Linked DNA regions of Caenorhabditis elegans. The protein of the gene in region 1 interacts with the protein of each later gene in a pairwise test. Each region holds a gene or a part of one and is shown in the gene's direction. Other genes may lie near its edges. The genes, in order: gpd-1 and zyg-8.

Region 1 (3,847 bases):
GCGAAAAGTTAATGAATTTAAATTTTTGAAGTCAGGTTATCAAGACGGAAGGGATCGGTGCACTTTACAAAGGTCTAATACCGAATTTGGTTGGCGTGGCACCGTCAAAGTAAGTTTTTTTTTGAAAAAGTCTCGAAATGTGCATAAGGAACGAGATTTCTCACAAAAATTTTTATGGCGTTTCAAAAATTAAAAAAAACAACTAATTTTTGATAAACTTGGGTCTGCTAGACTAAAAACTACAAAATTAGATAAGATAAAAAGCATTGCTTCTAATGTGGCTGAATACTAGAAAATTTTTAAAAAATTGAAATTTTTATAATAGATCTTAACTTAAAAAAAAACGTTTTCAGGGCCGTCTATTTCTACACATACTCTACATCAAAACGATTTTGGAATGAGTCGGAAGTTCTAATTCCAAATTCTGCGATTGTGCACATGGTGTCTGCTGGTTCGGCTGGATTCGTGGCGGCATCGGCTGTTAATCCTATATGGCTCGTGAAAACACGCCTTCAGCTTCACCAAGGACACATTGGAATATGGCAAATGATTAAGAGAGTTTATCATCGAGAAGGATTCAAAGGATTCTACAAGGTAGGAATTTATTTGTAGAAATTTCTAAAAAAAAATCTTAATCTTCGCCTTTTTCAGGGTGTGACAGCTTCCTACGCGGGTGTCTCCGAAACGATGATTCAGTTTTGTATATACGAGTATTTCCGTGGTGTGTTGCTCAGTGATGCCAACGAAATGGACAAGAGAAAAATGGACTTCCTAAACTTTATGGTTGCCGGTGGTTCTGCAAAGTTTATTGCTTGTGTTGTCGCTTATCCGCATGAAGTGGTCCGTACACGTCTTCGTGAAGAAACAGGAAAGTCACGTGGATTCTTCAAGACACTTTATCAGCTGTACAAAGAAGGATATCCGGCAATGTATCGTGGTTTGTCAGTGCAGGTGAGCGATTCTTGATTTTTAAATTAATTATGAATTTAATTCATTCCAGCTGATGCGTACTGTACCAAACACTGCTATCACAATGGGAACCTACGAGTTTGTCGTCTACATGCTTCATCATCTATAGAAGGATCTGGTTTCTGCAGCTGAATACCTTTCCGCAATTTAATGATCTTTTTTTCACAGATCATATCAGTCTAAATATCATTTTTCTTCTTCTCATTTGGCCCTGATAGTTAAATCTCTGTTCTCTCATTATATTTATTAGCTTTTTGAAAAATGTAATTATTTTCTCTTTTTCGAGTATTCTAACGTTTTTAAATAGCAGATTCGACCTTTCTTTTTGCAAAGTTTAAAATAGTTAAGCCCTGTTTGTTTGTTTTGTTGAAAGCCCACAGGAACCAATTTACTACTTCTGTTCCTTTTCTCCATTATTAAATCATCCTTATCTTTCTTTCATCCGCCTCTTTTTCCGGTCGCTGCGAAAATGATTGTGTGCTCTCTTCCTTCCCCTGTTAACAGTTTCTTTCTTCTCCGGTTATCCGGCGGGTCGTTCTTCGTCGTTGCTGCTGATTCTGCTGCTGCTCATCCTAGAGCCTTTGTGTTGTAAAAACATGTTCTATTGAATAAATTCACTAAAAGTCGCAACAAGAAATAATTACAGATGTGATCAGCGGATTTAAGTTAAAACATCAATAAAACAGTCCGGAACTCTTGACAAATTTAGTTTTATTTCCGATTTTTCGGAATAAAAGCTCATTTTTCCAATAATTTTTGGTCTTCTCTTCATTTTTGAAGAAAATTAATTGATTTTTTCACCGTAATGTTTCAATTTTAAAGGGATGACCAAAATCAAACACCTCAGGTCTCGCGACGAATTTGACAAATATTTTTTGCGCTTTGCTGGCGCGCGCGAGCGGCAATTTTTCAATTATTCCAATCGCCCGCGCAAGTTTCTGCTGTTTTTCACCAATCTGGATTTCTTTCTCATCATTTATTCTCATTTAAGTTTCGATGCGGTTGATTTTATTTCACTGTTGATTTTGCTTTTCTTTCTTTTCTTTAATCTGAATTTTCGCCATTTTTATTCAGATTTGTTCCTTCTTAACTATTGCTTCTTGTGAATCTTCCGTCAAAATTTCATTCAAGTTTTCTTACAGACTCAAAAATGTCGAAGGCCAACGTCGGAATCAACGGTTTCGGAAGAATCGGACGTCTCGTGCTCCGCGCGGCTGTCGAAAAGGACACGGTTCAAGTGGTCGCCGTCAACGATCCGTTTATCACAATCGACTACATGGTCTACCTTTTCAAGTATGACTCGACCCACGGTCAATTCAAAGGAACTGTTACCTACGATGGAGACTTTCTGATTGTCCAGAAAGATGGCAAATCATCGCACAAGATCAAGGTCTTCAACAGCAAGGATCCAGCTGCCATCGCATGGGGATCAGTCAAAGCCGATTTCGTTGTCGAGTCTACTGGAGTTTTCACGACAAAGGAAAAGGCTTCTGCTCATCTTCAAGGAGGAGCCAAGAAGGTCATCATCTCTGCTCCATCTGCTGATGCTCCAATGTACGTGGTTGGAGTAAACCATGAGAAGTACGACGCTTCGAATGATCACGTTGTTTCTAACGCATCGTGCACCACCAACTGTCTGGCACCACTGGCGAAGGTTATCAATGATAACTTCGGTATGATCATCATCAAATCAATTTGTTTTTTTCTAATTTATTTTATTTTCAGGTATCATCGAAGGACTCATGACGACAGTGCACGCTGTAACCGCAACCCAGAAGACAGTCGATGGACCATCCGGAAAGCTGTGGAGAGATGGACGCGGTGCTGGACAAAACATCATTCCAGCTTCCACTGGAGCCGCCAAGGCTGTGGGAAAAGTCATTCCGGAGCTGAACGGAAAACTCACTGGAATGGCTTTCCGTGTCCCTACACCAGATGTTTCCGTCGTTGATCTGACCGTTCGCCTCGAGAAGCCAGCTTCGATGGACGACATCAAGAAGGTAGTCAAGGCCGCTGCCGATGGACCAATGAAGGGAATCCTCGCCTACACTGAAGATCAAGTTGTGTCGACTGATTTCGTGTCCGACCCTCACTCGTCCATTTTCGATGCTGGAGCATGCATTTCGCTCAACCCGAACTTCGTCAAGCTCGTCTCTTGGTAACCACTGAATGTTTAAAAAATCTATTCTAAATTTATTCTTTGCAGGTACGACAATGAATATGGATACTCGAACCGTGTTGTCGACCTCATCGGATACATCGCCACCCGTGGATAATTCTATCAGGATCTTTTATGTACAATCCATGTATTTCATAGCCATTTTTTATTACAGTCATCATTGAATGAACCTATTTTTCTGGTGAAATCTAGTACTTTTGTCATGATTTCAGAAAAGAGCTTGAAGTGACCTCTAAAGTCAATGTCTATTGAAATTTAATTGAAAAGGTACGGAGGCGGAAGCCATACTTTCCGTACTTCACATATAAAAAATGATGTCTGTGGTGTTGGTGAGATTAGAAATAGGTCTACTAGAATACAAACTACAATTTTCCTACCAACAAAAGTGCGGAAGAGAAAAACTTCGGCCGTGTAGTCCTCTCGGAGTTTTTCCTTTTCCTGCCTTTTGTATACAAATTTGTATGTATTTGCTTCGATTTTGTTTCTTGTTTACTATTTTATCAACTTTTTCAAGCATTATATTTTTTATAATTTTTAAAAGCATTTCCAGAATTGGCGATTTTCATATCTTCATGAATCGAGTACTCGCACGTTTTTGCTCTTCGATTCCTTCTTGCTCTCAACGGTTTACGGAAGAAGAGTAAGTTTTTAAAAGTTTTTGAAACCCACGAAGCAATACTTTTTCAGGTTACAAGCAAT
Region 2 (4,818 bases), on another chromosome or scaffold:
GGCGGAGACGCAGGTGGCGCTGCACAAATGAGAAGCTGTTTAATTGGCTCTGTGGTCCCTCCGGATACCCCCTAACTAATCCCTCGTCTATTCCGTCCCCCGGCTCTGCGTTGGCTCGCGCGCGCCCCTCCCGTCAGCCAAATCAACCCACAACAACACCCGTCTGCCCTTTAGCTCTTTCGAATGAGAGGAAAACGAGAAGCAGCTCACTGCTCACTGCTCTCTGTGTGCACGCCTAGTTAATTCCCACATTCGACATTCCATGCATTTTGGAGACCAATGCTCGCGGACAGCTCATTTTGGACAATGATTCGAATTGTCAGCTAGTCATAGCATAGTAAAATTATCTCCTTTTTTTTGGTGTCACGTGGCGTCTCATTTCGGTTTGATCTACCTAGATCTACAAAAAATGCGGCAGAGTTCTCAACTGATTTCGCATGGTTAAGAACGTGCTGACGTCACATTTCTTTGGGCGAAAAATTCCCGCATTTTTTGTAGATCAATCCGTTATGGGACAGCCTGATGGAAATTTTGCTTCAAAAATCTTTAAAAAATCGAAAAAAAAAATTTCTCAGAAAATTTGAATTTCCCGCCAAAATTATTTTAAGAGAAAATTTGAATCCTCGCCAAAACAAATTCGAAAAAATAAAAAAAAATTTCCCGCCAAATTTTTTTTTCGGAAAATTTGAATTTCCCGCCAAAATAGATATTTTCCGAAAATTTGAATTTCCCGCCAAAAAAAAATTAAAAAAATTTTGAATTTCCCGCCTAAATAGGTTTTTTTTCTCGAAAAAAAATTGAATTTTCCGACGAAATAGTTGTTTCACAGAAAATTTGAATCTCCCGCCAAAATAGATATTTTCTCCGAAAATTTGAATTCCCGCCAAAAAATTCTAAAATTTTTAAATTTCCCGCCAAATTTTTTTTCGGAAAATTTGAATCCCCGACAAAAATTTTTTTTCCCAGAAAACTTTAATTTTGCTCAGAAAATCTCAAAAAAATTTGAATTTTCCACTTTTTTTTCAGAAAAAAAAATTGTTTTTCTAAAATAACAAAAAAAAAGATTAATTCCCGTCTATAGCACTTGCACCATACCCGATTGGAATTGTCCTCCTCGATTTTTAGTTCATTTTCTGTCCAATCTTTTGATTTTGCATTCCTTTCTCTTTTTCATATCCAAGGCCCATTCCGGTTTGATCTACAAAAAATGCGGGAGAAAAGACACAAATTTCTCAATTGATTTCGCATGGTTAAGAACGTGCTGACGTCACATTTTTTGGGCCAAAAATTCCCGCATTTTTGGTAGATCAAACCGTAATGGGACGGCCTGTTGCCACGTGGTATATCCCCACGTGGTGTCAGGCAGTCTCATTGCGGTTTGATCTACAAAAAATGCGGGAACTTTCCCCCAGGAAAATGTGACGTCAGTACACTCTCATTCGATGCTAAATCAGCTGAGAAATCTGCGTCTCATCTCCCGCATTTTTGGTAGATCAAACCGTAATGGGACGGCCTGACACCGCTCCGTCCTCCTCTCGTGGTTGCGCCTAACTATCGCTAATTTGGTGTTTTTTTTCGGTGTTAGACTATCTCTACTCGAACGATGCCACAAACGTCGGCGTGGCAGCTCAACGACACAACTGCTAGACCACCACCACCACCACCACCACCTGGATCTGAAGCTGGAGGATCGGATGGAGCATCTATGAATGGAGCCAACACATTGCCACGTGTATCGAAGAGGGTTTCCGCTGCTGGAAAAACGTCGAATATTCCACGATTCAAACGACGTAAGAATTGAGTGTTTGGCTTGAATTTCCCCGTTGGTGGCTTGCTTGCTTCAGCTTACGGGATATGGTTTTTTTTAATGATGAATCCGTGAATTTTGCAACAAAAAAGCAGCGTCGCACAGAAAAAGAGGCGGAGCGTAATTTTGCAACCCTGCGGCACGGTTTTTTCTCCTTTTTTTCTGAATTTTTTTTTTCGATTAATTTCATTTTTTTTACAACCATGAAATATCCTCACAATCTAATAATAAGTAAATTGGGTAATACTTTCATTCGAAAAAAGACAAATAAAAAATAGAGAAAAAACCGTGCCGCAAGGTTGCGAAATTACGAAATTACACTCCGCCTCTTTTTCGGTGCGATGCTGCTTTTTTGCAAAATTCACGGATAGATTGTTTAATTTCAATAGTACTGAGTTGAAAACTTGAAAAAAGAGACATTTTTATTTGTAAAAAGCTATTAAAAAATGATTAATACCGTCAGACTGTTGAAAACGATTTTTCCGGCAAATCGACAAATTGCCGGATTTGCCGGAAAAAAATGGCCCCTAAATTTTCCGGCAAATCGGAAAGTTGCCGGATTTTAAATTTTCCGCAAATTGGCCGATTTGCCGGAAAAAGCGGCCCCTAAAATTTTCGATTTTTCTATTTTCCGAAATTCAGAAAATTACCCATAAGATATGATTTTTTAAAAATCTAATTTTGTTTATATATTCATGATAAAGAACATCTAAAAATAAGAACAATGATCAAAGTTTAAGCGAATTTTTAAAAAATCGAAAAAATTTCGAAATATCGATTTTTCGATTTTCAAAAATCGAAAAAACCGACACCCTTGATCGTTATCACTATTCGAAAATAATTGAATCTAAAGAATCGAGATCCTGTAAATCTACACTACAGTAGTCATATAAAGAATTACTGTAGTTTTCTTTTCGCTACGAGATATTTTGCGCGTTAAATATTTTTTTGTGTTCCCGTGTAATATAATCCTAATTTCCAGCCCATCTCCCTCATTCGACACGTCCTCTCTCCGCAGTCTTGACATCATCATCATCTCCAGTTGTTCATAGAAAGATCAGTCCATCATCATCTGCTCCATCAACATCCTCCGCACATCGTCGATTCTCGCATCTTCCTCAACAACACTTCCACCATCATATTCATCACAATCAGACCGCAGTGATCAGTGAAGAAACACTGACAACTCCACGAGCATCGACTCTTAATCTCAATCAGACAAGCGTCTTCCCAACGGCAATTTCCCAGGGAAGCATGCCGAATAGTGGCACGAACACTGCGGAAGCGTCAATGACGTCATCCGTATGTGCCATGGAAACCGAGGGAACGAATGGAGATGAGCTCGCAGAGTCCAGGGATATGGTCTCAGAAATGCAGCGGAGGTGTCGAATCGGGCCATCCGGGTATCCGCATTTACTGAAAGCCAAGCGACTCCGGTTCTATAGAAATGGGGATCAATATTTCAAAGGGATTCAGTATGCTTTACAAAGTGACCGGGTGAAGAGTATGCAACCACTTATGGAAGATTTGATGAAAACTGTAATCTGTGACTCGACGGCTCTTCCACACGGAATCCGTCACATTTTCACGATCGACGGCGCTCAACGCATCACTTCCGTAGATCAATTCGAAGACGGCGGTGGTTATGTGTGTTCGAGTACCGACGCTTTCAAACCGGTCGATTATTCGAGAGCCGCCGAGCCAAGTTGGCGTCTGACACTTGCCAATCGATACAATCGACACTTGGAGACGAAGAAGCTGGCGTTGAGTGTCGTAGAGCCGTGTCATGAGAATACGGATTTCGTGTTTCCACGAATTATCAAGGTTATTCGGAATGGGGTGAAGCCAAGGCGGATTAGTAGGCATTTGTTGAACAAGAAGACGGCGAGGTGAGAGCAAAAAATCGCCCCGACCAATCAGCGATTCGCTCCGCCGCCCACTTTCCAACCAATCAGGCGACGTGGGTGGAGTTCGAAGGTGTTGATTGGTCGGGTGAAGTCTCATTTTGAAGGGAATTCAAAAATGATTGTTTTTTTCGCGTTTTTCCTATTTTCCTAAGGAAAAAAAAATTATTTTTCAACCAAAAAAAGTGGCGGCGATTCAAAATTTTGAATGAAAAAGACAAAAAATTCAAAAAAAAAATATGCGAAAGAACGAAAAATTCGAATTTTTCTGCGACCAATCAGCAATTCGCTCCGCCCATTTTTCGCCCAATCAGGTGAGGTGGGCGGAGTTTGAAGATGCCTAAACGAGAACTCCCGCCCACTTCTTCAGATTGGTTCAAAAGTGGGCGGAGCTAATCGCTGATTGGTCGCAGATTTTTTTTGAATTTTTTGTCTTTTTTCTTAAAAATGTTGAACCGTCGCAACTTACAAAAAAAAAATTTTTTTTCATTACGAAAATAGGAAAAAAGCGAAAAAAACAATCAATTTTGAATTCCCTCCAAAATGAAACTTTACCCGACCAATCAGCGCCTTCGAAACCCCCCCCCCCCCCCCCCCCCCACTTCATCTGATTGGTTGAAAAATGGGCGGAGCAAATCGCTGATTGGTCGCAGTGGGAATTTGTCTAAAATTGGAAAAAATCGGTGTTTTTTGTTTTTTTTTCGAATTTTTTCCCAAAAAAAACACAAAAACCCAATTTACACTGCGACCAATCAGCGATTAGCTCCGCCCACTTTCCAACCAATCAGATGGAGTGGGCGGAGTTCGAAGGCGCTGATTGGTTGGTGAAAATTCGGTTATATTCCCTCCAAAAAGAGAACTCCCCGCCCACTTCATCTGATTGGTTGAAAAATGGGCGCGGAGCTAATCGCTGATTGGTCGCAGTGGGAATTTTTAATTTTCTCGTTTTTTTTTTCAAATTTTGTCCCAAAAAAAAACTTAAAACCCCAAAAAAAAAAAAATTCCAGATCCTTCGACCAAGTGCTCCGTGACCTGACATTTGTCGTGAAGCTCGATTCTGGAGCAATTCGAAAACTATTCACACTATCCGGACGGCCTGTTCTCAGT

The links.
Region 2: the proteins of gpd-1 (region 1) and zyg-8 interact in a two-hybrid assay, tested with the Caenorhabditis elegans proteins (one large-scale study listed by BioGRID).

The regions. Positions count from the first base shown.
Region 1 is NC_003280.10:10,392,018-10,395,864, forward strand, and holds gpd-1 (Glyceraldehyde-3-phosphate dehydrogenase 1), read left to right. Parts: upstream 1-2,111; 5' UTR 2,112-2,119; coding exon 2,120-2,642; intron 2,643-2,694; coding exon 2,695-3,127; intron 3,128-3,175; coding exon 3,176-3,245; 3' UTR 3,246-3,332; downstream 3,333-3,847. Other genes in the region: T09F3.2 (uncharacterized protein), read left to right, coding at 32-109, 354-594, 652-951, 1,001-1,078; T09F3.4 (39S ribosomal protein L22, mitochondrial), read left to right, coding at 3,721-3,788, 3,836-3,847.
Region 2 is NC_003281.10:12,060,136-12,064,953, forward strand, and holds the start of zyg-8 (Serine/threonine-protein kinase zyg-8), read left to right. Parts: upstream 1-1,577; 5' UTR 1,578-1,603; coding exon 1,604-1,790; intron 1,791-2,789; coding exon 2,790-3,696; intron 3,697-4,718; coding exon 4,719-4,818. UniProt on the Caenorhabditis elegans protein: Probable kinase. Kinase activity may be involved in positioning of spindle poles in meiosis and mitosis. Plays a role in spindle positioning during asymmetric division of one-cell stage embryos.